2 linked regions of the Coturnix japonica genome follow. The protein of the gene in region 2 interacts with the protein of the main gene of each other region in a pairwise test. Links are inferred from orthologs where the notes say so. Each region holds a gene or a part of one and is shown on either strand. Other genes may lie near its edges.

Region 1 (4,211 bases), on a different chromosome or scaffold from region 2:
CAAAGAGCCTGTAATCTGCAGTATGGACAGGCTATGCTGGTCCCTGTGGCTGCTGTAGGCCTCATTGCTGGGTTCACTCCATTGCACTGAGAGCTGTGTGCATTAGAGTGAGTGGTCCTTATCCCCATAGGGTTCCTATTGCTCCATTAAATCAATCAGCAGGTGCTGCCGCTTCCCCAGGCTGACTTGTGTTGGCCGACAAATGCAGGTAGATGGGTGTTTTTTTGGTGAAAAGCCATCAGTGTGGCCATCAGTTCCATCCCATTTGTGCACCAAGAGCTGCGTGCCCTTAAATCACAGAATCAATCACAGAATGACCCGGGTTGGAAGGGACCTCAAGGATCATGTAGCTCCAACCCCCTGCCTGGCAGGGCCATAAAACATACACATTTACTAGATCAGGTTGCCCAGGAGACCCCATAGATCCCCATAGAGACCCCATAGACCCCATAGACCCCATAGAGACCCCATAGACCCCATAGATTCCCATAGAGACCCCATAGACCCCATAGACCCCATAGAGACCCCATAGAGACCCCATAGATCAGGTTGCCCAGGGCCCCGTCCAACCTGGCCTTGAACACCTCCAAGGACGGGGCATCCACAACCTCCCTGTGCAGCCTGTTCCAGGGCCTAACCACTCTCCTAGTGAAGAACTTCCCCCTAACATCCAACCTAAATCTTCCCTCTTTTAACTTAAAACCATTTCCCCGTGTCCTGCCAAATCACTTGTTCCCATCCTCACAGGGTTCACCAGGCACCCCCTGTGTGAGGAATTCCTCACAGGCCCCACTGGAATCCATAATTGTGTGCTGTCATTTAACTAATGCTGATCAAAACATACAAATTCCAGAGCAATTCAAGGTAAAAACCTATAAACCTGCCTCTCACCTACCCAGCATTACTCCTTCAGCACAATGGGCTGCTGCCTTTAGGTTTAGTCTTTCAGTTCACCACCTTCCTTAACTGCAACAACACCGATCTCCTGTCAACAAGGTTAGGCAAACAGCTGCTGATAAAATGACTTCCAGGTTGCTCTTTCCAAGGCCATTTGCCATGGGGTCCTCGCTTCAGACGAACACCCTGTGTGTGTATGTGTGTGTGTGTATGTGTGTGTGTGTGTGAACTCCTTGGCAGCGACAGCTGCCAGATAGCACAACCTGATTGCAGCGTGGGGCCTTGGTGCCATGGTACAGCCCGGGTTAATGACTTTGTTTATACTGTTTGGGTAATTGTGATAAGGCTGCCCAACCCGCTGCCCCTGCTGGGGTTTCATTGAGAAAACGGCCATTGACGCCATGCTGAGATCCTGCTGGTTCCAGCCAATCAGTCTGGGGACAGCTGGGGTTGGTGGCTTTTTTTTTTTGTTGTTTTTTTTCTTCTTTAATGAGGACCGCTTAATCACGGAGCGGTCAAGGCTGGGAAGGGGTGTTCCACTTGTGACCGAGCCTTATAAGAGCTTGTTTGAACAGCCATGTGCTGGCAGAGCTGGGAGGACAGGTCACTCCCAGATTGAGACGGGGAGGAAACTTACAGGTCTCTCCCATCTGCGGAGTTTCACAGAGGATCCGGGGCTCCCAGTTCTGCTCTGATGACCAGCAGCATAGACATGGACTGCGAGAGGTGTCAGTGCCAGCATGAAGACAAACACCCAGCCATTCTCTACACCCTCCTCAGCCAGAACCTGAGCCACAGCCCACCTCACCAACGCTGCCTGTGCCACCAGCGCTGGACGGTCTGCCTCCGGACACCCCATATCACCTGCCAAGCTGCATCCGACGTGTTGGTGAAAACCATCAGCTTCATGAAAAACCTCCCTTCCTTCCACCTGCTGCCTCGAGGGGACCAGCTCCTGCTGCTGGACAGCTGCTGGGTCCCCCTCTTCCTCCTGGGGCTGGTCCAGGAGACGGTGACATTTGAGGTGATGGAGACCCCAGCCCCCAGCATGCTTGAGAAGATCCTCCTCGATGGCCAAAGCAAAAGGCAGGAGCCTGAGTGGACTCAGCCCATGCTGGCCGCTGTGCAGTGGCTGCAGTGCAGCCTCAACACCTTCTGGAGCCTGGACTTGAGCCCCAAAGAATACGCCTACCTGAAGGGAGCCATTCTCTTTAATCCTGGTGAGTGTTCAACCCTCCCAGCTCTGCCTGCTGGTGGCAAGAGAAAGCCCTGCATGAGTTAGCATTTAAAAACACTGCTCTTGGCTTGGAGTCGCTCAGAGTTTGGGCAAAAGTGTGTGTGAGAGCAGGGAGAGCTGCTCACATCATTAGCACCAGCAATGCAGTTTACCTCTGGGAAGCAGGGAGGAGGGATACTGAAAATGTAGTGTTTAAAAGCAGAGACCTCCTTACCTTGCAATCAAAGAACCCTGGGTCTTACTCTACAAAGCCCATGTTTGCTTCATTAGCTGTATTTACTCCCTCAAAGCAACAGCCCTGAAATACATGTTGTTAATGGCTCTGAGGTTTTTCTCCAAGATACGGGGAGAGAGATGGGAGAAACCTCGAGCTGTTTTCCAGCCTTCCTCTTCACATCCTTCCCTCCTTTCTCTTGGCAGATGTCCCAGGGCTGACAGCCTCCCTGTACATCGAGAGCCTCCAGCGGGAAGCCGAGCGAGCGCTTCAGGAAGTTGTGCAGATCCTACACCCCAAGGACCAGGACCGCTTTACCCTCATTTTACTCATCACCTCCACCTTGAAATCCATCCCTCCTGCCCTCATCACAGACCTCTTCTTCCGACCCATCATTGGCAACGCAGACATTGTCGAGCTCATCGTGGATATGCTGTATGAAATCACCAGCTGGCAGCCGGCTCCTTCACCACGCGTGGCTCTGTGAGCTGCTGTGCTCTGCCACAGCCCTGGGGGTGCTCAACAACACCTGGCAGGGCAGCAGGGAGGACTGTGGAGCAGGCAGTCAGGCACTCAGCTCCACAGGGCTTTGCGTGTGCCTCTCTCTAGGCTGTAGGGCTCAGAGCATAAAGGAAAGCAGCCTTGATTCAGCATGGCTGCTCCACCTCTGCCAGTCTGTTTTGAGGAATGTGAGTGTGTGTGGCTGGTGGTACTGAGTTTCTAGCAAGCAGGCCAGCCCTGTGACACAGAGCAGACTGAGTTAGAGCCTGCTCCAGGCTTTTTATATCTCAGTGAATCCTCAGTTCAATTAAAATCAATGTGTGTTTTGTTAACTCCATGAGATGAGGTTGGACCTCAACTTGCTGCCCGTGATGGCTCTGTGCTGATAGTGGTATTTAGGGGTGCTGAGTATCTTCGGTGGTATCACTTGTAGAGTACAACCAGGTGCAAGCCGTAAGGAATTAGATCTTTAAGTATCAGCCAGTGTCTGCTGTGCATGAAATCTCACAGACAGCCACCAAGAATCCTCCTCAGACAGCAGGAGGGAGAAGCATCAGATCTTACAGGGCGTGCAGCCAGCTTCATGAACGCCTCCTGCCTCTCATCACATCGCATCTCCTCCCCACGATGCCATGAGCTGCAACAGGATTGCTCACAGATTGGATTACCTAAGAGCAGTGAAACGTACGGCAAATAACGCTGCATGAACACCACTTCATCCTCCCTATACACCTCAATATATATATGGCAATACTTGGAATGGCTCAGGAACACACTGAGCTACAGACACTGAACAAACATCCCTGCCTTGAGTTCCAGCTGGTTCAACATAGTAGGAAAGCTCGCTTCTCCTGCCTGCAGCTTTTGTCACTGATGTCAGTATTTAATGAGCGGACCTTCATTTGATTTGTACATAAGATGCAGTAAATTATTTTTTTAATAAAAACGTGTCACATTTTGGTGATTTTTTGTTATATTTCTGGCATTTTGGACTTGTAGAAATAGCTGTTGGAGGTACAGTGTGGGAAGGACACCTGAATGCAGGGATGGAGCATCATAGGGAATCATAGGGGAGCATTGCAATGCAGCCCCATGAGCTGTGCTGGGCACACACTGCTCTGTGCACTGAAACCTGCAGAGGCAGCACAACTGCAGCCTGTCTGTGCTGCACCTTCCTTCACGCACACAGCCACACCTGGAGGTGCTGATGCAGGAGGTTGGTGCTGACTCACCTGGATGTGCACACACAGCCCTCAGCCCACAGGAGAACAGCCATACAAAGCCTCCTGGCTCCCCACCACCATAAACACACCGTGTTTGAACAGCAGCCTGCTGGGAGAACTGTGTGCTGCCCATCCGTGC
Region 2 (3,500 bases):
TGAGCTCTCTTGATAAGCAAGTGAAGCTGGGGGACCATCCCCATAACGCTCCCCTCGACCCATGGTGCTGAGTGCCAGCCCGTCCCCATCCATCTCTGTGAGCAACAGGTGAGAATACTTTGAAGGCGGGTGTTCCTGCTCCTGCCAGATGCTGGTTATTTTAAGCCTGGAGATGAGAGATGTTGGCCACTGAGACACAGAGGTGGTGTTTGCTGCCAGGAAACAGCAGAGCCACCCAGGCAGGGGAACATAGGAATGGCTCTGGGCAGAATTGTAGGGCTTTTTCCTTTTCTCAGAGTGGCATTTCTCATCTCCCTTTGGTTTGTGAGCACACGGTCAGCTCTGCAGTCAGTAAGGGAAGGGTTCTTTCCACACTGTTTTAGTCTCTGACCTTTTCCCTTTCAATCCCCTGGGGCCAATGCATCCCTTATGGTGTGCTCACCTCCTGCTCCCTCCATGCAGCTGGGTAAAGGGCATGTATTGCATGCAGAGAGTCCCCCAGTGTACTGGGCAGGTACCCCAAAGTCCACAATATTGAGGGAATATGAGTGGAAAAGTGAGAAGTCAGCAATGTGGGTGGCAGAAAGAAGGTGAGAAGGAGGGAGCACACCATGGGACACAGACATGTGCCTGGGGCAACTCCTGCCTTGCCTGCACAGAACCCATGCCCCAGCCTCATGCAGTGCAGAGGTGCAACAAACACTCCTCCTCTGAGTTTGAAACTGTTCTTTTAAGGACATAAAGAAAAATAATTGTACAATCAGAGCTGCTAGGTATCAGTGGGGATTACAGCGGGATATGTGGAGGGGCTCATACATCCTTGTCCGGAGAGGTAAACCATATATACACACTTGTGCTGGCAGGGTCTGTCTTTGCTGGGGTTAGACGGTCTCTTCCCATTCCTAATCACAAGTCCACTTGAGCTGTTAGCAGTTCCTTTAAACAGGGATTTGGTGTGTTTAGGCTGACTGTCCTCCTTGAGAGCAGATGGTTTGTGTTACTGGGTAATATTTCAAAGGAGAGGGTTTTTCTCCTTACTGTGATGCCCGCTCCATGCTGTGGGGTGCAATGAGGAGGTGCTTACACTTGGGCTGTGCACACTGCAGGGTCCCTGCAGATGATACCCACTTAAATTGAGCACAGAGCTCCCAAACTTGGGGAGCAAGCAGGCAGCACCCCCTTCCCTCCTTCTCCTACTCCTCCCATCTTTCTCCTTGCTTTCTCTAAACCTTTCCATCTCCTCTTTGCAGCCTAATGACCCGGTGACGAACATTTGCCAGGCGGCCGACAAGCAGCTCTTCACCTTGGTGGAGTGGGCCAAGAGGATCCCCAGGTTCTCTGCGCTGCCATTGGACGACCAGGTCATCCTGCTCAGGGCCGGTGAGCCCCGATGCACTGCATCCCTCAATGGTCACGCTGGGATTTGGGTGCTGGCAACTGGAGAGGCTTTAGCTGCATCTGAGGAATAGCTTCAGATCATTCCACTGCTAACTATGATTGACAAAGCCCCAAGGGATGTATTGCTGAATGGGATCCAGAACGTTGCACCAGCTGCCAATGGGCTGAAAAATGGCCCGGCCTTGTGTGTGATGAACGAGATGCTCAGGAAATCAAGGGCATGATGTGCCAGCATCCTCCTGAGCTGGGACTGGAAAGACAAGGGGGTTTGAGTCTGTCTGAAATGTCATAGAACTGCAATGTTTGATCATAATTAAAAGCAGACGGGGGAGAAAAATATATATCGCCTTCCCACTCCCACCCACCAAGATGAAAATGAAGTTCTTTGGGTTTATTTTAAATTTCCTTATGCTGCAGGGGGTCTGGGAGGTTACAGGCTGTCAGCTGGGAAGGAGGTCTTCTTCCAGCAAGTAAACGCAAGCCTCAGCTGCTGGCAGGTCCTTCACAAGGGCTAATGGGGGGGGGGGGGGAGCAGGAAATTACAAGCAGACTCGATGAGGGTGCTTTGTAGGCACGAAGCTCTTCACATAGCTCTCATCATCAGAGAAGTGAGTACAAAGGCTTTGAGTCAACGCAGCAGTTTTGTTCCCTGAAACAAAGGGGCAGGCAAGTTGTTGGTGGGACGTGGGAAACCCCTTCCAGCAAATGACAAACTCAGTGGGAAGGAGGATGAAATTGGGATTGGAAAGGAAAAGACCTCAGTAGTTTTAATGTTCCCATATTTTCCTCCAGATGCACTTAGAGTTGTATCCCAAGTGCATGAATCCTAATAGTTCCTAAGGGTGGTGAGACATTGGCACAGGTCGTATCTCTGCAGACAGCCAAGGTCAGACTGGAGGGGCTCTGAACACCCTGCGGAGCTGTGGGTGTCCTTAATCACTGCAGGGAGTGGGACCTGATGGCCTTAAAGGGACCCATCCAACTCAAACCATTTTGTGATCCTGTAATTGCTGCAATTGTTTGTCTAAAGGGGGCTGAGGAAGGTTGAACAAGAGATTGAAGGTTGAACTGATGCTGTCTCAGTGTTGGTGAAGGGAGGGTGGGGGCTGCAGACACCATCATGGAGTTTTGTCATGGGTTCATAAGCATGAGGAGCTCCCACAGGTTCCCCACTCCCAGCATCTCTGCAGGGGCCTCAGATAACCTCCCCCAAGTCCTTTAAGCTGTGGCTTTATCTATTATTGAGTGGCGAGAGCACAGCTGCCCATGAAATATTTAAGTATTAAAATATAGCTAAGAGCCTCCATCAGGTGCACTCATGCATCCTCTGAGGCAAAACTAAGTGGAGCACGCATGGAGGAGCAGTGCTGGGTGGTGGCTGCAGCCTTCCTCTGCAGTCCTGAATCATTTAAAACCTTCCCTCTTTGGGCTTTTTGGAGGAGGAAACCCAACTTTTTTTCAGCTTGTTTTGCCTGGTTTTCCTTTGTGCCAAACCTGCTACGGCTGAGACAGCAGTAATGTTTTATAGGACTGAGAGGGGGAGAGCCTGGTTCTGGTTCCTTTTATAGGGCTGAGCCCACAGCACCTTTCCATGAGTCACCATCTCTCCAGGTCCCCTCCAGCTTCCTGCAGTCTCTCTGTTCTCAGTGTTGCAATCCCTCTGCAAGTGCCAGACCTCACCCAGCGTGTAACCAAATAAATGGTCCCTTGATTGGGGCGGAACCGTCCTGTGGCCACTTAGGGAACAGTGAACTTTATTCCCTGGTAATGCTTTGAGTGGCACAACCCATTGCTGCAGCTGTAGGTAAACACAGCACGCATGGACCTTGTGTTTATTGCAGTCAATGAGAAAAGGCACATTGCTGTGGATGGAGGGGAGCTCAAGCTGGTTTCCAAGGCACGGTCATGGCCATGTGGGATGCCCATGGAGCAGTGCTGCTCCTCCAGATACCGAGCTACAGAAGCCATGCCATCTCAGCCATTGTATGCACTGTTGCCAGGGCAATGGATGTGGCTGATTCCCACACTGTGAAGATGCACGGTTCTGAACCATGGCCTTTCTGTTGTTTTCTCTGCAGGTTGGAATGAGCTCCTCATCGCCT

The links.
Region 1: the proteins of RXRA (region 2) and NR0B2 interact in a two-hybrid assay, tested with the Homo sapiens proteins (2 studies listed by BioGRID and IntAct). The link is inferred for Coturnix japonica from reciprocal best matches to the Homo sapiens genes RXRA and NR0B2.

What each region holds. Positions count from the first base shown.
Region 1 is NC_029538.1:1,621,961-1,626,171, reverse strand, and holds NR0B2 (nuclear receptor subfamily 0 group B member 2), read left to right. Parts: upstream 1-1,411; 5' UTR 1,412-1,591; coding exon 1,592-2,117; intron 2,118-2,554; coding exon 2,555-2,835; 3' UTR 2,836-3,813; downstream 3,814-4,211. UniProt on the Homo sapiens protein: Transcriptional regulator that acts as a negative regulator of receptor-dependent signaling pathways. Specifically inhibits transactivation of the nuclear receptor with which it interacts.
Region 2 is NC_029532.1:5,859,644-5,863,143, forward strand, and holds part of RXRA (retinoic acid receptor RXR-alpha), read left to right. Parts: intron 1-1,250; coding exon 1,251-1,380; intron 1,381-3,476; coding exon 3,477-3,500. UniProt on the Homo sapiens protein: Receptor for retinoic acid that acts as a transcription factor.